3 linked regions of the Macaca fascicularis genome follow. The protein of the gene in region 2 interacts with the protein of the main gene of each other region in a pairwise test. Links are inferred from orthologs where the notes say so. Each region holds a gene or a part of one and is shown on either strand. Other genes may lie near its edges.

What was found.
Region 1: the proteins of KIF9 (region 2) and PRMT6 interact in a two-hybrid assay, tested with the Homo sapiens proteins (2 studies listed by BioGRID and IntAct). The link is inferred for Macaca fascicularis from reciprocal best matches to the Homo sapiens genes KIF9 and PRMT6.
Region 3: the proteins of KIF9 (region 2) and ZBTB8A interact in binary tests that used the Homo sapiens proteins (3 or more experiments, as listed by UniProt). The two-hybrid records come from large-scale screens. The link is inferred for Macaca fascicularis from reciprocal best matches to the Homo sapiens genes KIF9 and ZBTB8A.

Annotation. Positions count from the first base shown.
Region 1 is NC_088375.1:127,485,348-127,489,876, forward strand, and holds the start of PRMT6 (protein arginine N-methyltransferase 6), read right to left. Parts: upstream 2,801-4,529; 5' UTR 2,785-2,800; coding exon 1,657-2,784; 3' UTR 1,401-1,656; intron 1-1,400. UniProt on the Homo sapiens protein: Arginine methyltransferase that can catalyze the formation of both omega-N monomethylarginine (MMA) and asymmetrical dimethylarginine (aDMA), with a strong preference for the formation of aDMA.
Region 2 is NC_088376.1:110,178,609-110,182,366, reverse strand, and holds part of KIF9 (kinesin-like protein KIF9), read left to right. Parts: intron 1-812; coding exon 813-978; coding exon of another isoform or gene 979-995; exon of another isoform or gene 996-1,075; intron 1,076-2,647; coding exon 2,648-2,754; intron 2,755-3,758. UniProt on the Homo sapiens protein: Essential for normal male fertility and for progressive motility of spermatozoa.
Region 3 is NC_088375.1:202,482,007-202,486,241, reverse strand, and holds the start of ZBTB8A (zinc finger and BTB domain-containing protein 8A), read left to right. Parts: upstream 1-1,201; 5' UTR 1,202-1,273; intron 1,274-1,501; exon of another isoform or gene 1,502-1,532; 5' UTR 1,533-1,633; intron 1,634-2,161; exon of another isoform or gene 2,162-2,516; intron 2,517-4,235. UniProt on the Homo sapiens protein: May be involved in transcriptional regulation.

The sequences.
Region 1 (4,529 bases), on a different chromosome or scaffold from region 2:
GCTAGCTTAACTCAAGTCTAGCTTGCTGTAATTGTAGCATTTACAGGAGATGATCACTATCTTAGCATCAAAATGGTGATGGTTATAACTGTACTGCTTGCTACTCAATTATCTTGTAAATTGATAATTTTGTACATGTATGTCTCTCCATGATGGAAGATCTTGTGTTACATACCACCAAAGTTTAGCAAATCAGTTTTTATACTCTAATACTTTAATATGCAATGAATAAAAGGGCAGAAAAATCAGAATTACAATAAATGTTAGGCTATTTCAGAACACCAGTTTTTCACACCTATTTTCTTAGCATACAGAAGCTCAAAAATCATACATTAAGCAGTTTGAATTGTCCTGAAGTTATATTCTGAATGGGCTGTAACACTTAAGAACTGGTAATATTAAAAAGGCAAAAGCATTATAACTCATAGACAGCACACAAGACTTCTTACTTCATCTATAAAACGTGAGAATGTCAATGTTTTATTAGCTACAAGGATAAGGAGGGAAACATCAGTGAAATAAATGTGATAACAAGATTCATACTTCATTATAAGTGATTTTCCTAAATTCACAACTTTCACATTTGGCTGCGTGAAAGAGAAAAAAAAGAAAAAAACTAAACTAAAAAAGGAACTTTCACTACTTGTAAGTAGGCCAACTCACATGATCCCTCCAAATGAGAGTTTAAATGAGAATGAGTACACTTTTCTAGCTGGGAAAATATTTTACTTAATTAAGTGAGTTTAAATAATTTACCCATGGTGATGAATAAGCCCTTGGGCTAGGCTCAGAAACCTCCTCTACCAGCCTGTTTCATAAGAATTACACTGATATTTTTATAGGACATACATGAAATATTTGTTTTTTGGTTGTAATAGTAGAGACAAGAATTTTGTAGTCCTCTACATAAGAATCCATACTATTTCTGTCTTTCAGGTCTTTCTCCTAAATGCACCTTCTGAGTTTCTTAGATACGCCGTACAATTACAAAGACCATTTTACTTAACGGATTAATGTGTTCATCAACTTTAGCACCCTATGTATGTGGTAAGAGTAATGAGAACAGGGCTATTTAAACTGCTTCCTCATATCCTTCCCCTTAATTACCAGTAGTGAAGTTTACTTAGAAAACAATGAGGAAGTCTCATAGCCTACAGGCACCTAGGGATGGGGAATTAATTCAGAGTGAGAAAATATGGCTCTGGAGAGATACTAAAGTCGTATTGGAAATGTATGAAGTCTAAAAGAACTCTTTCTCCTCAGCTTCAGACTTAGATAAGGTGTGAGGTGTCAGGAATGTGCATGGACCCTTCAAAAACTGACATTTTCATCTGTGTTCTTCTGCCTCCCTCCCCCACGAAACAAAATATATGGAAATACAAGTGCTTGGTACTACATGCCTTTGAGGCTTAAAAGCCCAATAATAAGCACGCTGTATCCGTTCTTGAGGGGGATAACTTTTTAAGTAAACATCACCAGAAGAATCTCTTCAAATGGAGAATGAACTCACTCTCCCTCCCTAGAGGCTATGCGGGAAAAGGGAGACAGATATTCCCCCTACTTGCACGTGGGATCTCCCTTTCTCCTCCGACCTCGCTACGTCTCTCCCACGCAGGTCAGGCTGCCTTGGGAGGTAGCTGGGAGAAAAGGCAACGCTCAGTCCTCCATGGCAAAGTCTTTGGTCTTCTCCTCCTGGTCTCCCACTTTGTAGCGCAGCAGCACGCGCAGGCGACGGGGGTTGTCCCGGGAGGGCAGCAGCGTGATCTCTCCTGAAACATCCGTGTCTTGCTCCACTTGCACTGGCTCGTTTAGGTAGAGAAGCGCCTGTTTCCAGTGCGTGGCGGGGTGAAAAGGCGAGGTGGACAGCACCAGGGGTTTCTCCGACTCCCCTCCAGGGAAGGTCACCTGGAACCAGATGGCAAAGCCATGCATGGGCGCCGAGCCATAGCAGCTGCAGCGGAAGCGCCCGCCCACTCCGGCCTCCAGCTCCTGCTCCAAGCCGGCGCGGGAGAGCTCTAGTTGCGCAAAGCGCTGTGGCCGGGCCAGCACGTCCTCGCCGGACAATCCCTGCACAACGATCTCCGAGTGGCCCATGAGGCAGCGCGTGGCGAAGCCCTCCAGGCAGCTCATGTCCACACCATAGTGCTGCTTCACCTGGCTCCAGAAGCCCAGGCGCCATTCCAGCATCTGGTCGCTGATGGGGGCTATGAAGAGCTCGGCGGAGGCCGGCAGGAGAAGACCGCCCTCCTTCAGCCACTTGGTTCGCGCGTGGAGGACGGAGCTCAGCATGGACTCGTGCAGGAGTCCGTAGCCCATCCATTCGCTCACGATGGCATCCACCTGTTCCGGCAACTCCACAGTCTCCACCGGTCCCGGCAGGACGTGCACCCGGTCCTCCAGCCCGTTGAACCTTACCACCTCCCGGGCCTGTTGCCAGATGGCGCTGGCCTCTACCGCGTACACGCGCCGGGCCCCGGCCTGGGCACAGAAGATACTCAGAATGCCGGTGCCCGCGCCCACGTCAAGTACCGTCTTGCCTCGCAGTGCTGCCCAGTTCCGCAGGATACCCAGGCGGTAGGCATCGGTGCGGACGCGGTCTGCGATCATCTCCTCGTGGACCGAAACGTCCGAGTAGCACTCATAGTACAGCTGGTCCCGCTCCCGCTTAGTCCTCCGGGGTCGCTCCAGGGCCGCCTCCCGCTCCGCGCCATCTTCCTCTTCAGCTCCCTCCCCTCCTTCGCCGCCGCCCCCCGACTCAAGCTTTCTTTTCTTGGGCTGCGACATCTTGGCCGCTCTGGCCGGCTCCCGGCGGGCGTAGCGCGGCACGGCGCGGGCTCCAGGAAACGGGGGCTTCTGGGACTTGTAGTGCGCGCTTGTCCTTCCTACTTCCTGCGGGGTCGCCTGGCCAGCAGCGCGGAAGGTCTTCCGTGCCTATCCACGGGAGCTGTTTTGTATTGCTCTTCTGGTGTCTTGGCATCCCTTTTGCCACCCACGACACCCACATTCTGAGATCCTTTCATTCCCCCTCCCACCCTTAGTTTCTCAGTTTTTTGCTTTCACTTCCTTCCTGAAGTAGACACGCCCACTTAAGACTAATAATCCACCTTTGTTTCTTCTGCTCAACTCACCTCTGGTGTTTGTTTGTTTGTTTTGGATACAGAGTTTCGCTCTTGTTGCCCAGGCTGGGAGTGCAGTGGCGCTATCTCGGCTCACCGCAACCTCCGCCTCCTGGGTTCAAGCGATTCTCTTGCTTCAGTCTGCCAAGTTGCTGGGATTACAGGCGCACGCCACCACGGCCGGCTATTTTTATATTTTTGGTAGAGACGGGGTTTCTCCCTGTTGGTCAGGCTGCTCTCGAACTCCCAACCTCAGGTGATCCACCCGCTTCGGCCTCCCAAAGTGTTGGGATTACAAGCGTGAGCCATCGCGCCGGCCTAACTCACCTCTGGTTTTATTCCACCAAATTAACATGGCGGCACCATACACACACTACCGTCTTAACTGGACAACTGTAGCTCTTGAAGTGCTCCAGATGTGGCAATTTAGAAATTGCACTACATATTTCTCTTTTCTGTTTTCAGTGGAGTTAGAGTGCAAATGTAACAAAATTAAAACCTAACAATGCAAAATATTGATTCTGATTCCAGTATGACCACTAATTAATTGAGTGATTTAGGGCAAGTAATAGAACTTCTCTGGCCTTCAGTTGCCCATTCACCCACCAGAGAATCTTCATTGCAGTTGGGGAAGAATAATGTTTCTGGTTCTACTTAGAGGAATAGTTACTCGGCTTTCGGCCCTGCTCTGATAATTCTGTGGCTCACTCAAGAGTTAAATCCAGAAAAGTGCAGACTCAAGAGCCGTCTGATACAAGCAAACTCGTTGCTAGGTGTATTCTATATATATATGCATTTTTTTTTTTCTCCCAGAAATAACGGAATCCCTTTCTTTCGATCACTTTCTCAATGCAACTCATTTTTTACTATGTTTCCTTGTCTGGGCAATATTGACATTCTCCTTTTTCTCTTCTATTTTTCTTGTAGTCAACCATCAGCTGTTACTCTCTTTTTGTTCATAATGGAAATAAAATATATTTTTAAATATGTGTGGCATTTAAATGAGTGTCTGCGTTATTAACAAGGTGAGTATAATGCCATTTTCTCCCAGCTTAAAAAAGGCACCCAGAGGAAAATAGACTTTTATTTTCTTGTGGTCTTGAATTATGTCCTTGTAACCAATGGGCCTGTATTCCTTGTCTGGGATCAAAGTTCTTTCATCCTATTTTCTCTATTAATCTTTCATTAGCAGAATAGGTTTATTGATGTGGCATCCTCAGCTGTACTCTACTTCTAACTCAAGACTCTCCATCCTGGCTGCTCATTAGAATTCTCTAAGGAGCTTTTTAAAAAATACCTATTCCTGGGTCTACCTCAGACCAATTAAATCAGAATCACTCCAGTGGAACCTGGGCTTCTAGTTTTTAAAAGCTCCCCAGGGAATTCTAATGGGCAGCCAGAGTGAGAACAACT
Region 2 (3,758 bases):
GGATTACAGGCATGAGCCACCGCGCCTGGCCAAGTCTGTCTTTCTTGATCTTAATTTTTCTCTCTGTAGCCAGGTATAGCTTCTGCGTTAGGGCAGTCAGTGTAAGATTTCAGCAAGAGTCTTTACATCAGAAGTTCTCATCAAGAAGACATACCATTGACCTTACCCGGTATGTCCCTAACCCAGCTGCTACCACAATGGCTTACTATGAAGGGGCATGCATCTAAAAATCTGCTGATGGCACCCTCAATTTACTCTTAATTCCAATGTCTGAGAAGTCCATAGCCTTCTCTGTGGCTTTCATTTCATTATCACTCACTTTGGCTCATAGCATGTGTGTGGAAGTAGGTGTTCACCATAATGCAGAGCTGAGAGAGGCCTCACTGCCAGCAACCAGAGCAATGGGGCTGGAGCCCAGGCCTCTGTCGCCAGGCTCACTATTCCCTCTGGCGTAATTGAAGGCCTCCCTGTGCTTATGGAATCTATGTAAAACTTGTTTAATAAGAACATGATAAATTTGACTTCATATCATAGGTGGAGAAACCAAGACAGACAGCACCCTATGAACTAGGGTTAGAGGTGCTAAAACTAGGAAGTGCTCCAGTCTCCTGATCTTTCCACCTCCCTGCAGGAGCTCTCTTCTCCCATCCCAAAGAATTCATCTGGAATATCAGCCCCTACGTGGGAGTCCCTGTTCATCCTACAGTTCACTTCCTCTGTTCCCTCCAAATTAGGCCTCAGCTATCAGTGATTTTTTTAATACCTGTTTTTGAACAAATAACATTTTTTTCTTTCTCACTCTTTTTTCCTAGAGCATCGATATTCACTTAAAAAAAGACATTCGGAGAGGAGTTGTCAATAACCAACAGATAGACTGGTCGTTCAAGTTGGATGGAGTTCTTCACGATGCCTCCCAGGACTTGGTTTATGAGACAGTTGCAAAGGATGTGGTTTCTCAGGCCCTCAATGGCTATAATGGTAACTTAATTAATTAACTGTTGTCTTATATAAGAACCTGAAGAGTAAGAGATGCAAATATTTTATGGTGAATAAAATAAAACCTCACTTACTATCATTTGTATGCTTATTTGTCTGTCTCCATGTTCTTACGTTGCAAAACTTACTGTTTGCTTGTTGACATTGTGGGCATGGCTTGATCCAATGTCCTGGGATTCTACCTTCATAGGAAAATTAAAAGATTGTAGCTGTCTATAGGTCACAGGGGTTCAATTATTATCCTGTTTCAAATCTCTCAAATATTAGTTTTGAAGATGCATCTTTATGATGAATTTGATGGAGTCCAAACATTTGTCTCTCAGCTTCCTGCTAGGAGCTATTTTCATTTATTCTACCAACACAATTAATGTACAGTTGATATTCTAGGAATATATAAAAGAATATATCACAGTTTGTAGACTTTGCCATCTGGTGGCTGCTGAGTAGGATGTTCCCTGTTTTGCAAGTTTAGGTTTTATATTTAAAAGTGTGTTGAGTGTAGATGCTGTAATTTATACTGAATCTGATACTTAGATGTGGTCCCCAGACTTAAGGAGGTTCTCTTTTGGTTTTCACGATGCTCTGAAGGGATTGTGACCTTGAGGAGGTGAAGACGGAGGAACTAAGGCCCAGGGAGATGAATAGTCTTGAGCAGAGGTGCTGTGGAACCACAGATGGGCTCTGAGTTGCAGCTGAAGTGCCTCCTTCCCATTCATCTGTGCTGGGTTAATAGATACCATTTCTGGCTCCAACTCAGATGCTGAATCAGGGTCCCTTGTGTAAAACCTGCTACCAGTCCCAAGAACTAGAGCGTCTGTGTGACAAAGGCAAAAAATTTCCACAGCCCAGCATTGCCTGGGCAGATCTGCCATGTAAATGCCCATGGGCAGTCTGTGGGATGGGGTCTGGCTCAGGCTGCCTATGCTAAGGGGAAGAACAGATAGGAACTTGAGCTCAGGGTGACTGCATGGTTTGCGTTCCAGAGCCTGGTGGTGATGGTAGACCTAAAGGATGTTGAGAAGTGCAATGAAAGTCTTCCCAGTGGGGGCAGTGGTCCAGATCAGGGCCTGCTCATGGCGGTACGTTTCTGGAAGTGACATGGAACCAACTAGGAGCCCTGTTTGATCCTGCGGGAATTTGTAGTCTACAAAGAATTCTCACCCTTGACAGAAAATGCGCTTTCCACTCCATCTCTTCCTGGAGATTTTGAAAGCCCCTCTTTGCCTCTGTGGGAAGTTGATGCCTCCTGCCAACCCTGAGACCCTGGCAGTTCATAGCTATGCTAGAGAAGGCTTGGAGTCTAATGCTCCTATCTCCCTCCTCATCTTTTTAGGAAAAGTTCCAGTTCCTCTGTACCCTGAGATTCCCTGTCCTTCTCAGAAGCCCTAGGGCAGGATCATCTCTTGGTGGAGGGAACAGCAAAGCATTGTGGGGACCACAGATTCAGGGCAGATGTCCTTGTTTTGACCACTTTTGTCCCTGCTCCCCTGCCCACCCATCCTCTTCCATGGTGGAATTCCTGATGTTCTTGGCTGCTCCCACTGGCCATCTTTATGCGAAGGGCCCTGGCTGGCATTAGGCATGCTGGGGGAGGGGAGAGTATCCTTGGAGCTATTTTCCTGGATGTCACCGTGTTTTGAAATGTTTGCAGGCACCATCATGTGTTATGGGCAGACGGGAGCTGGCAAGACATACACCATGACGGGGGCAACTGAGAATTACAAGCACCGGGGGATCCTCCCTCGTGCCCTGCAGCAGGTAGAGAGTGGGCCCAAGGGTGGGATGCCACACAGGTTCCCTCTCTCTGCCATAGATGTTACTGACCCCAGGCCAGCTACTAGAGACAGGGGGGACCAGGCCTCAAAGGAGTTGCAGTGGGTACTGGTACTGGAGAAAACATACACAGGGCTCTGGAGTCAGTAGACTCAGGGGCCTCAGGAAACCAGGAGGTTGGGTGTCAGACTCTGACCCATACCCGCACTGAGCCTGTTTCCTCATTTGGGAAGGAGGGAGTCAGGCATGCTAATCAGCCTCTTGCTGCTCCAATGGTCTGTGATCCTGTAATTAAGGATTTGGAGGTCCTAATCGTTCTCCTTCCTGGTTTTAATGAGGGGCATATGGACCCTTGCAGAGCTTCCTTACTGGCCTACTCTGGCTTTTTTTTCACCACCACAGACCCTGAAAGATCAAAAGCAAAAAGCAGGGCATGACCTGAGCTTTCAGGACTGTGTCAGCCCTGGGGGTCTCAATAGCATAACTGAAGATAGGACAGAAGGGCCTTCCTTTGGGCCCCACTAGCCTGGGTTCTGTAAGAACCCTCTGGTTGGAGGTAGGAGGCAAAAGACTTTCCCCGAAAACATCTTGGTGGCTTTACAGCCCTGTCCTATAACACTTTTGCAGCCCGGTCCTATAAGAAGTGTAGACATTCCTCTAGTATGTGAACCATCCATGTTCCTGTTTTTGGAGCAATATCCTTAATATCCCACTGTCAAAGCTTTAGTATCTCAGCATCTTAGACTTTAGTAATCTAGCCCAATGCCTCTAATAGAAATATACTGTAAGTCACATGCAAATTTGAGTTTTCCAGTAACCACATTTAAAAAAGTAAAAATAAACAGATTAAATTAATTGTAATGATATATTTTATTTAACTAAATATATTTAAAATATTTCTGCATGTAATCAATATAAACTTATTGAGATAGTTTACATTCTTTTTCTCATACTAAGTCTTTGAAATCCAGTACATATTTTATACTTGG
Region 3 (4,235 bases), on a different chromosome or scaffold from region 2:
TTGTTTGTTTGTTTGAGATGGAGTCTTGCTCTGTCACCCATGCTGGAGTGCGGTGGCACGATCTCGGCTCACTGCAACCTCCACCTCCTGGATTCAAGCCATTCTCCTGGTTCAGCTGCCCCAGTAGCTCGGATTACAGGCACGCACCACTATGCCCAGCTACTTTTTATATTTAGTAGAAACAGGGTTGCACCATGTTGGCCAGGCTGGTCTCGAACTCCTGACCTCGTGATCCGCCTGCCTTGGCCTACCAAAGTGCTGAGATTACAGGCGAGAGCCACCGCGCCCGGCCACAACGAAGAGTTTATCACCAACCTGATGTGCTCTCTTGAGGAATAAGTTTGTGGAACTCTTTTGCATTAATCTTTAATTAAGGCTAAAATCAAACCTTTGGCTATAACCATGTCCAGGTCTTTCTGGGGGAATTCTCAATGGGGGGCGCTAGCAGAGTAATCTGAGTACATCCAATATACCTGATACCTAATGGTTTTCAAATATGTTTCTACTTACCTGTTCAGAAGGCAAGGAAACACAACTAAATAGCAAAGCACCTCTGCAGTGACACAGAAGTGACATTAAGAGACAATTGTGAAGATCTTGCATCCTCAAAATGCATAATTATTCCTGAAATCAAAGTTACAGACTGTCCAATATGACTGATTATGAACAGGAGAGGAATCCATTAAAAGCTAAACCCAAGTTTTGATAATTTGAACCTTTTTCCTCCAGTTTTACTATAACACAGTACTTTTCAGTACCTGACCCCAGCATAAGGAACTAGGAAACTAATTTATAGAAGTAATGCTTCTATAGTAACAGTGAAAATCCACTGATTTACTATTTTAGCAAATGTATAATCTGATATCTGTACTCTAAATATTAGAGATGTAAATTTGTCAGAGGAAGCTTGGTATACAATGAATGCTTGTATTGGAAAAGACGGAACTTGCTGTTTTTACTAATTTTGTATTTCTCTGGACTTAAACTAGGAATTATGTTCTCTTAGCTTCTCTGGGTTTTCCTCTTCAAATGAAATGCTTCTGACCTGTAGAGGTTTAGAAAAGGTTATCCTCAACTAAAATAACTGCTTCAATACAAGGGAAAATTCTGTGGAAATCTTTTGCATTTGACGTTGCTAAACTTAAGTACAATAATGTCACATGTACTTATACAGTAATTGTGGGCACGCCTAAGTCCCTCCCTCTTTCCTAAACCAAATTCCCCAGATCCTAGAAATCCAGCCCTTCTGCCCTCCGGAGGCGCCTTTCCCAACGTAAAGTACAATTTTAAATTTCAGCTCCTGACTAAAATCATGATCCGCAGTCAACTGCTAGAGAATCTGGGCACCCCGGTGCCTCTGGAGCGTGCAGCGGGTGTGGGCAAGGGCAGGGGGAGTGGGCGAAGCTGCTGGTTGGTGCCTGAAATCTGTGCGTTGCCCCTTTAATTGTGTCCCCAGCCCTCGGGCGTTTCTGTCCAACGCCCACGTCAGCAAATACCTTTTGTTTCTCTCACGTTGGGGCTACTTGTTTTAGGGCGCAAAGGAACGGCCTCGAAAGGGGGTCCTTCCCCAGCCGAGAACCAAGAATCTTCCCCCGGCCCGCGCGCGCGACCGGCCGGTGCGCCGCGGCCCGCGGTAAGTGGCGGCGCGCGGCGCCGGCGGAGGGCGGGCGGGCGTCGGGGCTGCCCGGGACCCGCCGCGAGCCTGGCCGCGGGCGGAGGCGCCGCGGGCTCTCACGGCCCGGGCGGCGGCGGTGCTGAGATGCGGGCCCTGGGCGCGCCTCCCCAAGACGTCCCCGGGCCGGGAGCGCGGCGGGAGGCGCCGAGGCGAGCGGGCGCCATTTGCAGCCCGGGGCGCAGCGGCGGCGGCGGCGGCGGCGCCGGCTCCGAGGGGCTGTGGGCGGCCACGGAGGACGCGCGGGCGGCGGCGGCGGGCCGAGCCCGGGGCGGCGGCGGGCGTTGGTGGGCACCGGCTCCCGGCCGCCCCTCCCCGCGCCCGGCCGCGCCGCCCAGCCCGCCAGGCCGGCCCCTCCTGCGCGCCCGGGAGGGGCTGCGGGACAATGGCCGCGCCGTCGCCGCCCGCGCCCGCCTAGCCGCCCGGCCCGGCCCGGGGAAAGGCGGGAAGGCGCGCGGAGCCTCCTGGCGGCGGCGGCGGGAAGGCGGCGGGGACGGCGCCGGGCGTGTCTGGAGCCGTCGAGCGCCGCGGACTCCGGAGGGGCTCGGGCTGCGCGGCGCAAAAACGGGCGGCCGCCGGGGGGGCGCGCGAGGAGGGCAGGGCCGGGGCCGGAGCCGGAGCCTCTGCGGGCGCGGCCAGGGGCGCTGCCGGTGAGCCTGGCTCCCAGGGCAGTAGCCCGAATTTCTCGGTACAGCCTCCATCCTTGGTTTTATGTCAAGATGCGACATCGGGGCTTAGAAAACCGAGGGCTAACTCACCGCGCCTAACCAATGTTGAGCTCCAACTATTTGCTTCTGGACGGAACCGTACATGCTCATCTCTACCCATGCTGACCGCCTCTTTTGTGAGTTAGTCAGCGGCTTGTTCCCTTCCCCTTCAGATGCGCTTATTTATCGCTGATTGTTCCAATGGCCCTACTCCACATCATTCTGAGACGCGTTTGGAAGCGGTAGATTTACACACACACCTGGTGGGCTTCTAACCACACGTCAGTATCACTATGCTTGATAAACCTTTATATTTGCACAACTTTAAATGGATTGCTTTCACCTATATGAATTATTTCACTTAATTTCACATAAAACAACCACTTAGGCTGACGGTAATTCCACTTTGCAAATGAGGGAACACGTGTGAAGCATGGCGTTTCACCTCTAGGCCAGGGTGACATAGCCACCCAGGACCTCCTGTTCCCGTCCTGCCTTCCCTCCTAAGGTACCTCCAGAGGAGTCTTTAGAAGGGCCAATCTTACACAGCGCTTCCCTGCACTGAAAACCTTAACTGATCTTTTTCAGGAAAGCCTCCAAAATCCCCAGCAAGCTTCTGCTCCAGTCTTAATCTCCTCCATGCCTCAGGTATGGATGCATTTGTGGACTGGAGCAAGAGCCCCTCACTGATAAGCAGGGATCAGATGTCTTTATTCCTGGGAACCTCTCTGGCCACACAAGTGGCAACTGGGAAGTGAGAATCTGGCTTAGGGCCCTTGACCAAATGGGTGTCTGGGTGGATTGTGCTCAAAAATGTCAGCAGGAGGCATAATGAGTAGGGACTCCAGGAAGGAGGCCAAGCCACTAACCCTTATCTCCAAGCCCTGAAATCACCAGCTTTGCTGTTGATAATGATTTGAGGCCATGAAAAACTTTGTAAGATAGAGTAATATTGATTCATCCTGTATCATTTAAATATAATTTTTAGATACAACTATGTCTAATAGATTTAACTCAGTGACACAATGATATGTTAATCATATTTAAAGGATTTGATGTGTTTGATTCCCTTGAATGAAGCTTTTGTTACTTTTGTGCTCAAAATTGGTCAGTGGTTCCCCATCTTACGCAGTTTAAAAGCCAAAAGCTCCATAATAGTCTATGCAGCCTTACAGCATCTGGTCTCACTATGTCCTACTTCTCTCATGATTTGCTTTCCCTTTCTGACTTCATATCCCATTGCTTCCCCGCTGCTCACCTCAGGGCCTTTGCGCTTGCTTTTCCCTTTGCCTGAAATACTGTTTCCCCAGACACCCACATGACTCTTACTTCCTTTGGACTTTACCCAAATACCATCTTCTCAATGAGGCTTTCCCCAACTATAGTTTTGATTCTCTTAAGTGTTTTTATTCTAAATCTTTTCTGTCTCATGCCATTTGTGCAGCTATAAAAATACTTTGGGACTGGGTAATTACACAGAACAGAAATTTATTTCTCACACTTCTGGAGGCTGGGAAGTCCAGGCAGTTTGGTGCCTAGTGAGGGCTGCTCTTTGCTTCCAAGATGGCACCGCGTTGCTGCATCCTCTGGATGGGAGGACTGCTGTGTCTTCACGTGGCAGAAGGGATAGAAGGGCAAGAGGGGCCAAACTCACTCCGTCAGGTCCTTTTATAAGGGCGTTAATTCCATCCATGAGGGCGGAGCCTTCGTGGCCCAATCACCTCCTAAAGGTGATACTGTTGCAATAGGGATGAGTTGTTTTTTTTTTTTTTTTTTTCTTTTTTGAGACAGAGTCTTGCTCTGTCGCCCAGGCTGGAGTGCAGTGGGGCTGTCTCGACTCACTGCAAGCTCCGCCT